2 linked regions of the Schizosaccharomyces pombe genome follow. Each later gene encodes a partner of the first gene's protein in a complex. Each region holds a gene or a part of one and is shown on either strand. Other genes may lie near its edges.

Region 1 (6,796 bases):
TACGCACAATCTTTCATACATTCCTACTCTTGCTCTTTGAGTGTTGACACTTTTAATTTTATACAAAAGCTTTCAGTACACCTTCTATTAAACTATATACTGGCTATTTTCGTTCTTTCAATAGAATTGTACTTGTCTAAATAAACTTTCCAATACTACTACACTCACATCTCCTTCTTTGTTTTATTTATTTTCATTTAGTGGAAGGTATAGGGTTCTCTAGAAAAGGTTTACTAATTTTTTGGAAGACATTGACTACAAATGGAACCATTAGATGCTGGCAAGAACTGGGTGCATATGGATGTCATTGAGCAGTCCAAGGAAAACATAGAGCCTAGAAAAGCTGGTCATTCAGCTTCTGCACTTGCAAAATCTTCGTCGCGAAACCACACCGAAAAAGAAGTTGCTGGTCTGCAAAAAGAAAGGATGGGCCATGAACGAAAAATAGAGACGAGCGAGTCTCTTGATGATCCACTACAAGTTTGGATCGATTATATTAAATGGACCTTGGATAATTTCCCTCAAGGTGAAACAAAAACTAGTGGACTGGTAACATTGTTAGAAAGGTGTACTCGAGAATTCGTACGAAATCCGCTTTATAAAGATGATGTTCGGTATTTACGAATATGGATGCAATATGTAAACTATATAGACGAACCGGTTGAATTATTTTCTTTCTTGGCACATCATCATATTGGACAGGAGTCCTCGATTTTTTATGAGGAATACGCAAATTATTTCGAGTCTAGGGGATTGTTTCAAAAAGCTGACGAAGTTTATCAGAAAGGAAAAAGAATGAAGGCTAAGCCATTTTTGAGATTTCAGCAAAAGTATCAGCAATTTACTCACCGTTGGTTGGAATTTGCCCCACAATCATTCTCTTCAAATACAAATTCGGTTAATCCTTTACAAACGACATTTGAGTCAACAAATATCCAGGAAATATCCCAGTCTAGGACTAAAATTTCTAAACCTAAATTTAAATTTTCTGTTTATTCAGATGCGGATGGTTCTGGAAAGGATGGCCAACCTGGGACCTGGCAAACTCTTGGTACAGTTGATCAAAGGCGTAAAGAAAACAACATATCGGCTACTTCTTGGGTAGGCGAAAAGTTGCCTTTGAAATCTCCAAGAAAATTGGACCCTCTTGGGAAATTTCAAGTTCATTGTGATGAGGAAGTATCGAAAGAATAACCGATAAAGAAAAGATTTAAAGTATTGGCGTTATTAGATTAACAACTATTGTACATCATGACTCCCGGAATAAGAAATAGGTTGAAACATGCGAATTTTAAGGGTTATACGAACTTAACATAAAGCATCTTATTTATACTACGATTTGCAGCTTTTTTTTATATTTTACTCTCAAATTAATTATAGTCAGCCATAAGTTAATGAATATGATATAAATAATTCTTTTATAGACAATTTATCAAAATAATAAACAGATAGCTCGATAAGTAATTACACCTCTATACAAGTAAAGCTAAGACCCCTTAGCTATAAATATTTTAACTAATGAGAAGGCCCCTCAAAAACCACAGAAGCAGCTTTGCCCAAACGATTCATGATAGCTAGCCCTTCATTTTCCTCGGAGACACCTTCAACCAAAACAAAATCAACTCCCTGCAGATCCAAATCTCGCAATTGAGCGAATAAATTCTTTGTAATTTCATGTCCATCCCTTCCCATATGCAAAAATACAAACGGACAGTGAGAAGGGAATGACTCTTCGTTCCAACGTTTACTACATAAAACACCAATCTTCTGCTTTTCCTTAGTGATTCCCTGCTCAGATAAATACTTTTCAAAAACACCGTATGCATCAGATTCTGTGTAATTGACAAAAAGTAGCACTTTGGCAGTTGGAGAGTAGTGTCTGTATTTCATACCAGGAGTTTGAGGGATGAAATCTGTTTCCATATCACTTTTTTTAGCTACGAATACTTTTGTTCGCTCCCAGGCCCCTCCAGAGCTTTGAATTTCTTCTAAACTTATGCCTCCTGGCCGTAAAATTACGGGAGGATCACAAAGTCCATTTACAACTGTACTCTCCACACCAACACCGCATGCTCCCCCATCTAAAATTAAAGGAATTTTACCTTGTAAATCATTGTAAACGTGCTTAGCTAACGTAGGAGATGGCCTTGTTGAAGCATTAGCCGATGGTGCAGCTAACGGCGAATCTGAAATAGAAATAAGGGCAAGCGCAACAGGATGTTGAGGCATGCGAACAGCAAACGTTTTTTGTCCTGCTGTCACAATTGGTGAGACCGGGGGATTAGCCTCGTCAACAACTGGCAGCAAAATTGAGAGTGGACCAGGCCAAAACTTTTTAATCAACGGTAAATAAACTTTTGGAATAATCTCCTCTGAGTCATGTGCTTGATTTTTTACTTCTGACTTTGCTTTAGGATATGCACTCAACAGCAATCTACGTAGCTGATCCAGAGAAGCAACATGTACAATCAAAGGGTTATCAGCAGGGCGGTTCTTTGCTTTGTATATTGACAAGACTGCTTCAGTCCTTCGGGCATCAGCACCGAGACCGTAAACTGTTTCGGTAGGAAAAGCAACTGGATAATCGGTGTTTCTCAATATATTCGCGGCGTTCTCTAATGCAGAACGAGTTTCTGAGGGAGGTATGGACACCCTTGTGTGTTCAAAAGGATGTTCCGAATCATTACTAGGCTTTTCAAAAGAGATAAGGCGAGTATCAACTGTTTGAATTTTTGTTTCCATTGTCAAGGAAGAAAACCTAAGTTTCTGGCTTACTGAGGCCAATTTTGCTATAAAATTGTAATACTTCAGCTTGTTTTATGTTAATTGATTTAGAAAGAAGAAGCTAAATGCTGATAGAGAGAAGGGTGAAGTTGATTGCTATTATTAAGTTGAAGCGCATCATTGCTGGTTGTCGACTCTTGCAAAGTAAGAGAAATAATTGTTGAAGATATATTTAAAAACTCAAGATTATTTTACTCTAAATACGAAAATAAAATCTCGTTTGAGAAATTTTACTAGAGTAGTGATTGACGACGATCTTTACTTAAAATTTGAATTTAGCTACAGAGGTTGTAAAAAAGAAATGTAAGCGCGACAATGATTTCACGAATGAAAAGAACCCACTTACTGTTTTTATTTGTGGGTTTTTTTTTATCGTTTCTGTTATTTGGCAGGGTAAGAATATATTCTTCCAATACATCCCTTTTGACTAAGCATTTAGTTAATTTGCTAATGTCCAATGCATCAATCTAAATTATATAGCTGAATGTTTAACAAACAAATTTGACTTTGAATTAATCGAGACTGATTGTGAACTTCTATAAACATTCGATCATACTAGATTTTTCAAGCTACAATTTTACCATAATCTATTTCATAGTAAATGGCCAGAAAATTTTTGGAAAACTAACGTACCCAAGATGAATTATAAGGAATTTTTATTTGGGCGTGCAAGGAATGGTCGAAAGAATAAGCATAAACATTATATTTACATGAGATTATAGACATGAACTTCACATGATCAAAGAAGAACGAGTTTCATTCCTTTGTCATTATTGTTACAATATAAAGTTTCAGAAGAATGAAGAGAATTAAACAATACGATCCAAGGATAGCAATAAAAGTCCCATAACGGTAAAGATGCAAAAAAGCAGACGAGCGGTCCGACTACTTCTAGATTTGGCCTTGATTAGTTGTTGATTACCCCCAGACAGCGAATCCATGACATTAAGGGCATCATCATAAAGTTTTTCAGCCGCACTTGATTGAATAGATAGTTGAGCGGATATTTCCGACTGAAGTCTAGTAATATCAGCCAAAGATTTCCCTGTATCACGTAAACGTTCCATAGTATGTTCAAATTCTTGGAGTAAAACATCGTTCTCTTGCTCAAGTTCTTGAAGTTGCTGTTGAGTAAAAAATGTTTGTAATTCAGATTCAGGGATCTCAACAGCTGAATTTTCATCAGTAGGATTTTTTGTTAAAAAGTCTGAAGCAATGTTTCGCTTTTCCTGACCTCGTTTTAATCTCAGATCTTGTAAATGATATAGAACAGAAGAAACATCGGAAAGTTCAGACTGCAGATACCACAGAACAGATGAATGGTGGGCGACTAAAGTTTCCTTTTTCGATAATTTACTAGGGTCTCTTAAACCTTGCAGCCAACCACTTTTTTTAGGGATTTGACTTTGTTGTTCTACTCATGCAATTAGCAAGCATGTCCCTGTGTTTTGTTTATAATTTAAGTAAACATAATTTTACCAGTATTAAAATTTTAAGCTTACCTTTCACAATCTCCTGCAACTTAGCTATTTGATGAATACAGCTACTGATTGCCGAAGAGACTTCATGTTCTATTTCATCCCTTTGAACCTCATCTAGCTCAAGCTTTGAAAGCTCCTCAAGTGAACACTCCATTAAAGGTTTTGAGAGTCTTTGGACATTTGAAAATGTTCTGTCCTTTAAATAAGCTCCACGAATCTTTTTCAAAAATACTAGAAGATTAACAATCGTTTCATGCTGCTAACGTTAGCAATTTGAACTCTCTGATTAGATATAGAAAGCAATAACAAAAGTTAATACTGTCAAAAATTTAAACCAATCCCACTCAATAATTAATCGTATATTATGGTAGCGCATCTCCACAGTGATCAATTGAGTTGAGGTTAAATTTCCGATTGGTTCAATAATTACAGAAAACTCGTCCTCAAACTTACAATTCTATATCCTTCAGCCAAAAAAGGATCCGTATAACTTATTCTTTTCAAAGGAATGTTTGCTGCATCAATGTCGCCATTTTTTGTTAATCCAAAAAACTCATTCGTACGACTCGTCATTCAGAATTTGAGATGCTAAGAAAGGAGAAATATAAATCCCGGGTTAAATGAATTTCAAATTAACAGAACAGATGTTTAGAAAATGGTAGCATTCCATATCCCCTTATGAATAGTGACACGGTAAACGGAATTGAGAGACTTAAAGGTGCTCGTAACAAATGTTCAAAAAAGCAAAAAAAAATACTCCATTGTACGAGTTTTGTTTATTTACTTCAAGTCGATGTCTACAATAAATGAAATTAAGCTAAAGTTTCGCAATTTTTGAAGTATTTAGAAATGAGCTATTTTCAAGTAAACAAACAAACGTAACCAGTTATACACCTCACAAGAATGGAGCGCAGTCAAATTGTTTACAATTTTTGAGTTATTTTTAAAAATTTAGCTTGAAAAAAGTTGTTTGTGTCCTTTATCTCGAAGAAATAAGGTTTTTGTTTTGCTGGTGTTGAGGTTGCTATATAATAACATGGTTTGGGCGACATAAATTCATCCTTTACCAACGCTCTTCGAAACGTTAAATTTGCATATTTATCAAGCATTTTATTGCAATAAGGCTAATATTATTAACTTTAATTGATTTTAACCTTCAGTATTTGCTTATTGTTATACAATATACAGTGATTACCCCTTTTTCTAAAAAGCTGTACTTTCGCATCACATCTGATACCTGCGTTCCTTTCAACTTTTTAATATAATCATCCAAACGATTTTAAAATCTGGTTGACATTACCGCGGAGCTTTAAGCTCTGCATTACGATATATTTTCTCTTTCACCAAAGATTGCTTTCTTCCTTACCATTTATTCCTTAATCAGCTTCGTTAGTATCTTTTTTACAACCAAATTACCAGTTTGGTATGTTAATTCATAATGGCATCTAAAATGCCTGAAGGGTCTCCCCCTACTAGTCGTTCTATTCAATCTCGAAATTCCAGTTACTCTACCTCTTCCAACGAACGTATTGGAACACCCTCTACGATTTCCCTATCTGAAAATTCAGATCTTTCTAAATTACAAAGTACTAATGATTTTGAGTCGCGAGAAGATCTCTCTCTTACTTCCGATGACAATAATGACCCCGAATATGTTATGTGCTACAACACTGTTTATCACCAAAAGACAAAAATAAATGATAAACTTTTATCCGAAACTGAGCAGTTACGTAAAATTTATCCTTTAGAATCCCGTGTATTTCCAAAACCTACCATTGTTAAAGAGATTACCAACGAGCGAACCAAGCGCTACACTTTTTATGACGATGATGCTCCTCTTACTAACCAACATACTGTTTTAGATGAAGCAACTTATAATCGAATTTTAAAAAGGATAGACTTTTTCATTGAAAAAGTCGTTGAAGTCCCACCTACTTACCATTTTTTATCGCTATTAAACGTTCAATTACGTATTCAACCAATTTGGTGGATGGATGAATTTGCTGAAAGAAATGGTATTGAAAGTTTACTGTCTGCTTTAAGAAACCTGGGTCACTATCCTGAACGTGCATCTAAAACACCTCTTGAATCCCAAATAATACAGTCATTATTTCACTGTTTGAACAGCGAAAACTGCCGTCGTCGTTATCAGTCTTCAGCTAAATGCTCTGTTCCAGGATTTAATGCTCTAGGTACTATTGCTGAGACTGTGCTTTCAAAAAGTTTAAATTCAGCTCGCATGGCTACTTTTCTCCTTAAATTCCTTTGTAATAAAAAGGGGTTGAGTTACTTCAAAGCTGTAATCAGGGCTTTCGAATGGCTCGTCGAGCAAAAGTTATCAAAAACTCGGTTTAGCGCATGGATGCATTCCTTTAATGATGTGATTACTGGTGTCCGAGTTTGTGCTGATTCATCTCCTCAAGCGATTGTTCACATGGACGAATTTGAAGATACGGACTGCTTGATTGATTACCTTGTTGCAACTTTAGCTCTCATTCGAGATTTATGTGCTGCTCCACCGGATTTGCAAC
Region 2 (5,151 bases), on another chromosome or scaffold:
ATATCTCCGTTAACTAACGTAAAGAGTTTGGTTAAAGACAAGTTGTTGTGAGACATCGCGGGGCATGTGCCTTAATTTATATCGTTATGCTTACGTGCTTGTAAACACTATATTACGCATTTGAAGTAGAAAGCACACAAACAAATAGAACCAGGACACTGAATAATTAGAACGTTTGGTTAATGAATTTTTACATAAGCAGTTATTAGTTTTAAGTTTATAGGTTTAATGGAGTTTGCTATCCGATCTCAGATTCTAGGCGTTCGTACCGGACCCTAGAAAATATGCGACAGACTTAACAAGATGCGTTTCCCAATTAACAAGCGCTCTAGTTTTTATTAGGAATTCAAAGAATACTGCTCTTTTTGTACTGTGGTCAAACAAATGGTTTTGACAATCAAAGAGGCATATACAATAAGAATGATTTGAAATGCAGCTGCATGCCGACTGTCGCATATTTCGTGAGCAAGAACTCATTTTGTTTACGGAATGGCGTTTCCCATTGAGTTACAAATACTATAGCATTACTATCATCAGCAAACTTCTACGCCATTCAACGTTTTTATTTAAAGAGAACAACACGTAAATAAAAACCAATCGTATAAGATAAACATTAAAACATAAGAACTACTTTACAAAGACTTTTTCAAAATAAAATTGAGAAAAAGGGCGAAAAAATAATTTCTCGTATAGATACTTCGAGCTCGATGGGAACGAGCCTCAAAAAGCCTTGCTTTTAATCTCGCCTTTCTTTTTAATAAACAATGCATTTTCAAAATCTCACCGAAGAAACCAAAGAAACATAGAAAGAATAGGCCAGACAATTCGCTTGAAGAGAAGATAGACAACCACAAATATGAAGAACCCAAATCCCGAGACGACTAAAAAGTAATCACTTCGATCACTTAATTTGAGCGATTTGATTATCCGTTTACTTGTATATAAAACGTCCTCTACACCAAAATATTTCTCTTGTAGAGTTTCTAACAAGTTGGTACTCGAAGACAACTCCATTGCATTTTCGGCACTCATATCCACTGCCTGTACCATTTGTGCGTGAATATCACGCATAGCCGCCGTGACCTGACTGGCGCTTGTAAGATAAATATCATCAGATTGCCACGAACCAGAGTTATCCATTGAACGCTTTTGAAGAGAACCATCACTTGGTGAGGTAATTTCCTCTTCATCTACAATCTTACCTATTTCTTGTGCGATAGGCAACCATGGTTCACCACTAGCAATCTTATTCCGATATCTTCTGTTCAACCGAATGTATTCTTGTACAGCCTTTTCATATCGTAGAACTGAGTCTAGCTGAATGGATGAGTATTCAAGCTCTACCCTTGCAGTTTCCCATATTTTTCTAAACTCTCGAAAATGCCTTTTAATAACTTCAACGCTTTCTGACTGTTGTAATTCAACAACTTTTTCTTCTAGTGCATTCAGAACGTCGGCCATCGAATGCTATGTTCTCTGCTTTATTGAACAAGTTAAAGGAGAAATAGTATTATGAGATGCAAGAGGAAAGAACGATAAAGGTAAATGATGATGAGTGGGAAACGAATGATGGATGCACTAACAATATAGCACAGCTGAAGGTGAATATAAGACTATACATCGAAAGGTTCGGTATATAGAATAAGGAAAAGAAATCAAATGCGGAATTATAAATAACGAGAAATAAAGATGCTAAGAGAGAGAAAGAGACAATAAAGATAGAAGGCAATAAGGTGAAATAAATTAGAAAGTGTAAATGGTAAAGGGAATATTGTATCGATCTTTAATAAAAAGTCGAAAACCACAGAAATGTTACTATGCACGCAACTGTAGAATGAAGCAACCTTTCATTCTAGTTCAAACGACGCTAGACACAAGTCGGTGTCTTTTTTGTTCAAAAATATTATACATATTCTGGGGTGAAAAGAAAAAATTTGATAAACTTCCATTTGCTTTATGATTGTTCATTAGCCAAAGGATGTTCAACGATTTCACCAACTTTTGCCTTATAACCCACAGGCAACGCTTGCAGGAGTAAGCGTACATCTTCAATTTTTTTGTTTTCCAACTCTTTACGAAATGCTTCATCTTGACGAGGATCGAGATGTTGTTTCATAGCTTCGCGAGCATCTTCACGTATCCATAATGGTTCGTCGCTCAACTCAACCATATATTGACAACTTTTTAGAAAGCAATCCTTCGAGCAATAATAGTTGAGTCCACCGTAGACCTTCATTCCTGAATCTTCTAATTTATACCTAGTTTGCTGCTTAGGTTCATAAGGACAAACGGGATAACCGCACAGATTGACGAGTTTACGCTCCTTCACCACTTGATCGTAATCACTTTTTCGAAGGTATTTACGAGCTTCCTCTAAAGTTTCTAGGGAAACCGGATCAACCAGCTTTTCAATCCATTCGAGGGCAAAAAAATCATACTGAAGTCGACTGCGTGCTTCATCTATAAGACTCTTCGACCACGTGATCAATTGCTTTTCTTGAGTGCTTTGAGCATTTTTCGGCTTTTTGAGAATTGATTTTTTGTTCATATCTGAATTGGATATATTGGAGTCAGCTGGAAAACAGAAGGTCTTAAAAATCGCTATTAGGCAGATATGAGTCAGTCAAGCATTGGAAGGAGGAATGAGCATCGTAAAAATACTTTAGCGCCGTGCAATTTTTGTTAAAGAGTTCTTGAGTTACGCAATTCATTTACAGCGAACTAAGACAGTGCGTTGGCCTTGGTACTAAAAATTTTGATAGAAATTACCCTCTCAGTTGAGTGTGGACAAAGGAAAAAAAATAAAGAAAAGCATGCGTTGCACCAATCATGTAAAGAAAGTTTTGTAGGTCTCTTTAAGAAAATCATTTTACCGTTAAAAATAATAATGATAAATTTACATCCACCCTATTCATATCTTCCACTAGTAAATAACTGGTCCTTAATCTTAATGATTCATATCCATATCCATACCATACCCCACACCCACACAGTAATCGTAAATATAGCAAACCAACGATGCTGTGGCTTCGTTTTAGGATTGCTAGTGTATCCTTATGTAAAATAGGAAACCAGATCCAATTGCGTAAATATTATTATAACGTTAAATAACAAAAACCAATCAACATTGATAAGCAAAATAATACCCAATAATCTTACAGTGCATTACGCTACCTTTGGCTAGTCGAACGAATCACTGTCAACAAGATGTTACGATTGGAAGGGAATTCCCCAGATCCTTTCCCCACAATGTTCATTCATTGAAAATCGTCTCACATGTAGTCAGTCGCTTCTTCACGTGCGATATTATCATTTGGGTGTTTATTGCTGTTAAGATTGACCAAACTTCTTTGTCTGCACAAATCGCGTGCCCTTTAGGAACCAAAATGACAGTGTACTGGCTTAGATATCCTAATAGAAGAGATTAACGATGACGTTCAGCTTCGCTATCATTTGTATATATTTTTAGTGGTAAAATAAATCGGCGGAGCCTTCATCTTTGGTATCTTGTTTTCTCTTTTTTTGGCTTTTTGTATATCTGTGTTTTAGGAAAAAAGAATCAGTGTATTGTATATTGAATGGTACCATTCTTTTTATACTGGTTCATTGTTTATCTGATCTCTCTTTGTACTTAAAAAAAGTATTAGCGGATCGCAGGCTCCACGATGAGCTCGTTTCCCACAAGAGTGGTTGCACTCTATCCTTATAGAAGCAGCTTCTCCGATGACTTGGAATTTGATCCAGGCCAAGTTATCGACGTCGTCAGTAATCTGGACGGCGACTGGTATACCGGAACATATGTGGACTCGGACGGTAACAGGAAAATTGGCTCCTTTCCAAAGGACTTTACCGAGCCAGCAGAGGATGCTGTGTTTGTAGAACGTGCTAGCGAAATGGCTCTTCATCAACCTACGCCAACTAGTGCTGTTCATTCTCGCAACTCTTCCTTAGGTTATGCTCCTTCTATTACACGTAGCATCAAGTCGATTTCCAACAATACAGAGCATCTTGGTGCCGATACAGAATCATATCTTTCAGCTAATGACTTTATTGACAGTACAAGTGAAGCACTTACGAAGATAGTTGATGTGGATACATTGAGTGCGCCATTCGGTAACGACAGCAACTCGCGTCCACATTCTTTAAAAAATGTGGAAAAATTGCATACATTCTCAGCTCCATATACCATATCTGAAGAGACGCCATCTTGCTCCACTGAGAACGACTCGCTACCACTTACCGCTACTCACACTATTACTGGTGGTGAGGATGCTGCTACCGGTGCTGCTGTAACCAACACCACCACTACCCACATTACTACTTCCACCAACACGTCTACCGTCATCCCCTCTAACCCAAATTCAGTTTTTCTTGTCGATTGTACTCATTCACAGTGCCCAACTGATTTACCAAACATCGCAACTACCCAACACTCTTTAAGGTATCTTGATAACGCATCTGCATCCGCAATAACCGTTTTGGAACGCACTCATCCCGCAGCTTCTTCCACCATGGCTACTGAGTCCTCCCATCAATCTCCGTCTGCGGACTCACAGGCAGAAGAATTATCAAAGAGCCAGCGAGTTGCAAAGGATGACGATCCTTTTGTTGTTTCCAATACTGCGAATTCCGATGAGCCAGCTTCAAGCTCAAAGCCCGCTAAACCCCTTACTGATTTGAATCGAGCCTTTTCTCAGCGCCTTAACTTGGATCCTCAAAAGCCCGGTAAATCACAGGGCGAAATCAGTGAGCAGGAGGAAGATGAATATGACGATGCTGAGTCAGATGAGATGCACAGTCCCTATAGCACTCACGAACCCGAATCTGAACCTGAAGACCAGGATGAACCATCGGAAAAGGATGATGAGAATAAAGATGTAGAGGAAGAACAAGAACAAGAGCAGGAGGAAGAACAAATTGATCCCGAAGAAGCTAAACGAATTGCCCTACGCGAACGAATGGCAAAAATGAGTGGAGGTATTGGTATGCATGTTTTTGGATTGCCTGGTCTAGCTGCACCTATTGGACGGAAAAACACTTTGAGGAGAACTCCTGCCAAATCCTCCGAGGAAGCAAAGAGCACCACTAATGACTCTTCTCCACCAAAAGACTCTTCTTCCACTTCTACTCAACCTACTGAACAATCGAATG

What was found. Proteins that work in one complex are often made in the same cells at the same time.
Region 2: ufe1 (region 1) and sec20 share a complex: the UniProt entries of both Schizosaccharomyces pombe proteins name them as parts of the SNARE complex.

What each region holds. Positions count from the first base shown.
Region 1 is NC_003421.2:997,427-1,004,222, forward strand, and holds ufe1 (SNARE protein Ufe1), read right to left. Parts: upstream 4,908-6,796; 5' UTR 4,839-4,907; coding exon 4,719-4,838; exon of another isoform or gene 4,691-4,718; intron 4,556-4,690; exon of another isoform or gene 4,522-4,555; coding exon 4,287-4,521; intron 4,199-4,286; coding exon 3,594-4,198; 3' UTR 3,286-3,593; downstream 1-3,285. Other genes in the region: mitotic spindle checkpoint protein Mad3, read left to right, coding at 262-1,194; SUA5/yciO/yrdC family protein Sua5, read right to left, coding at 1,516-2,742; formin For3, read left to right, coding at 5,704-6,796. UniProt on the Schizosaccharomyces pombe protein: Syntaxin required for targeting and fusion of Golgi-derived retrograde transport vesicles with the ER.
Region 2 is NC_003424.3:4,103,162-4,108,312, forward strand, and holds sec20 (SNARE protein Sec20), read right to left. Parts: upstream 1,558-5,151; 5' UTR 1,462-1,557; coding exon 781-1,461; 3' UTR 572-780; downstream 1-571. Other genes in the region: RNA polymerase II CTD phosphatase Rtr1, read right to left, coding at 1,955-2,548; bbc1 (SH3 domain-containing protein), read left to right, coding at 3,666-5,151. UniProt on the Schizosaccharomyces pombe protein: SNARE required for targeting and fusion of Golgi-derived retrograde transport vesicles with the ER.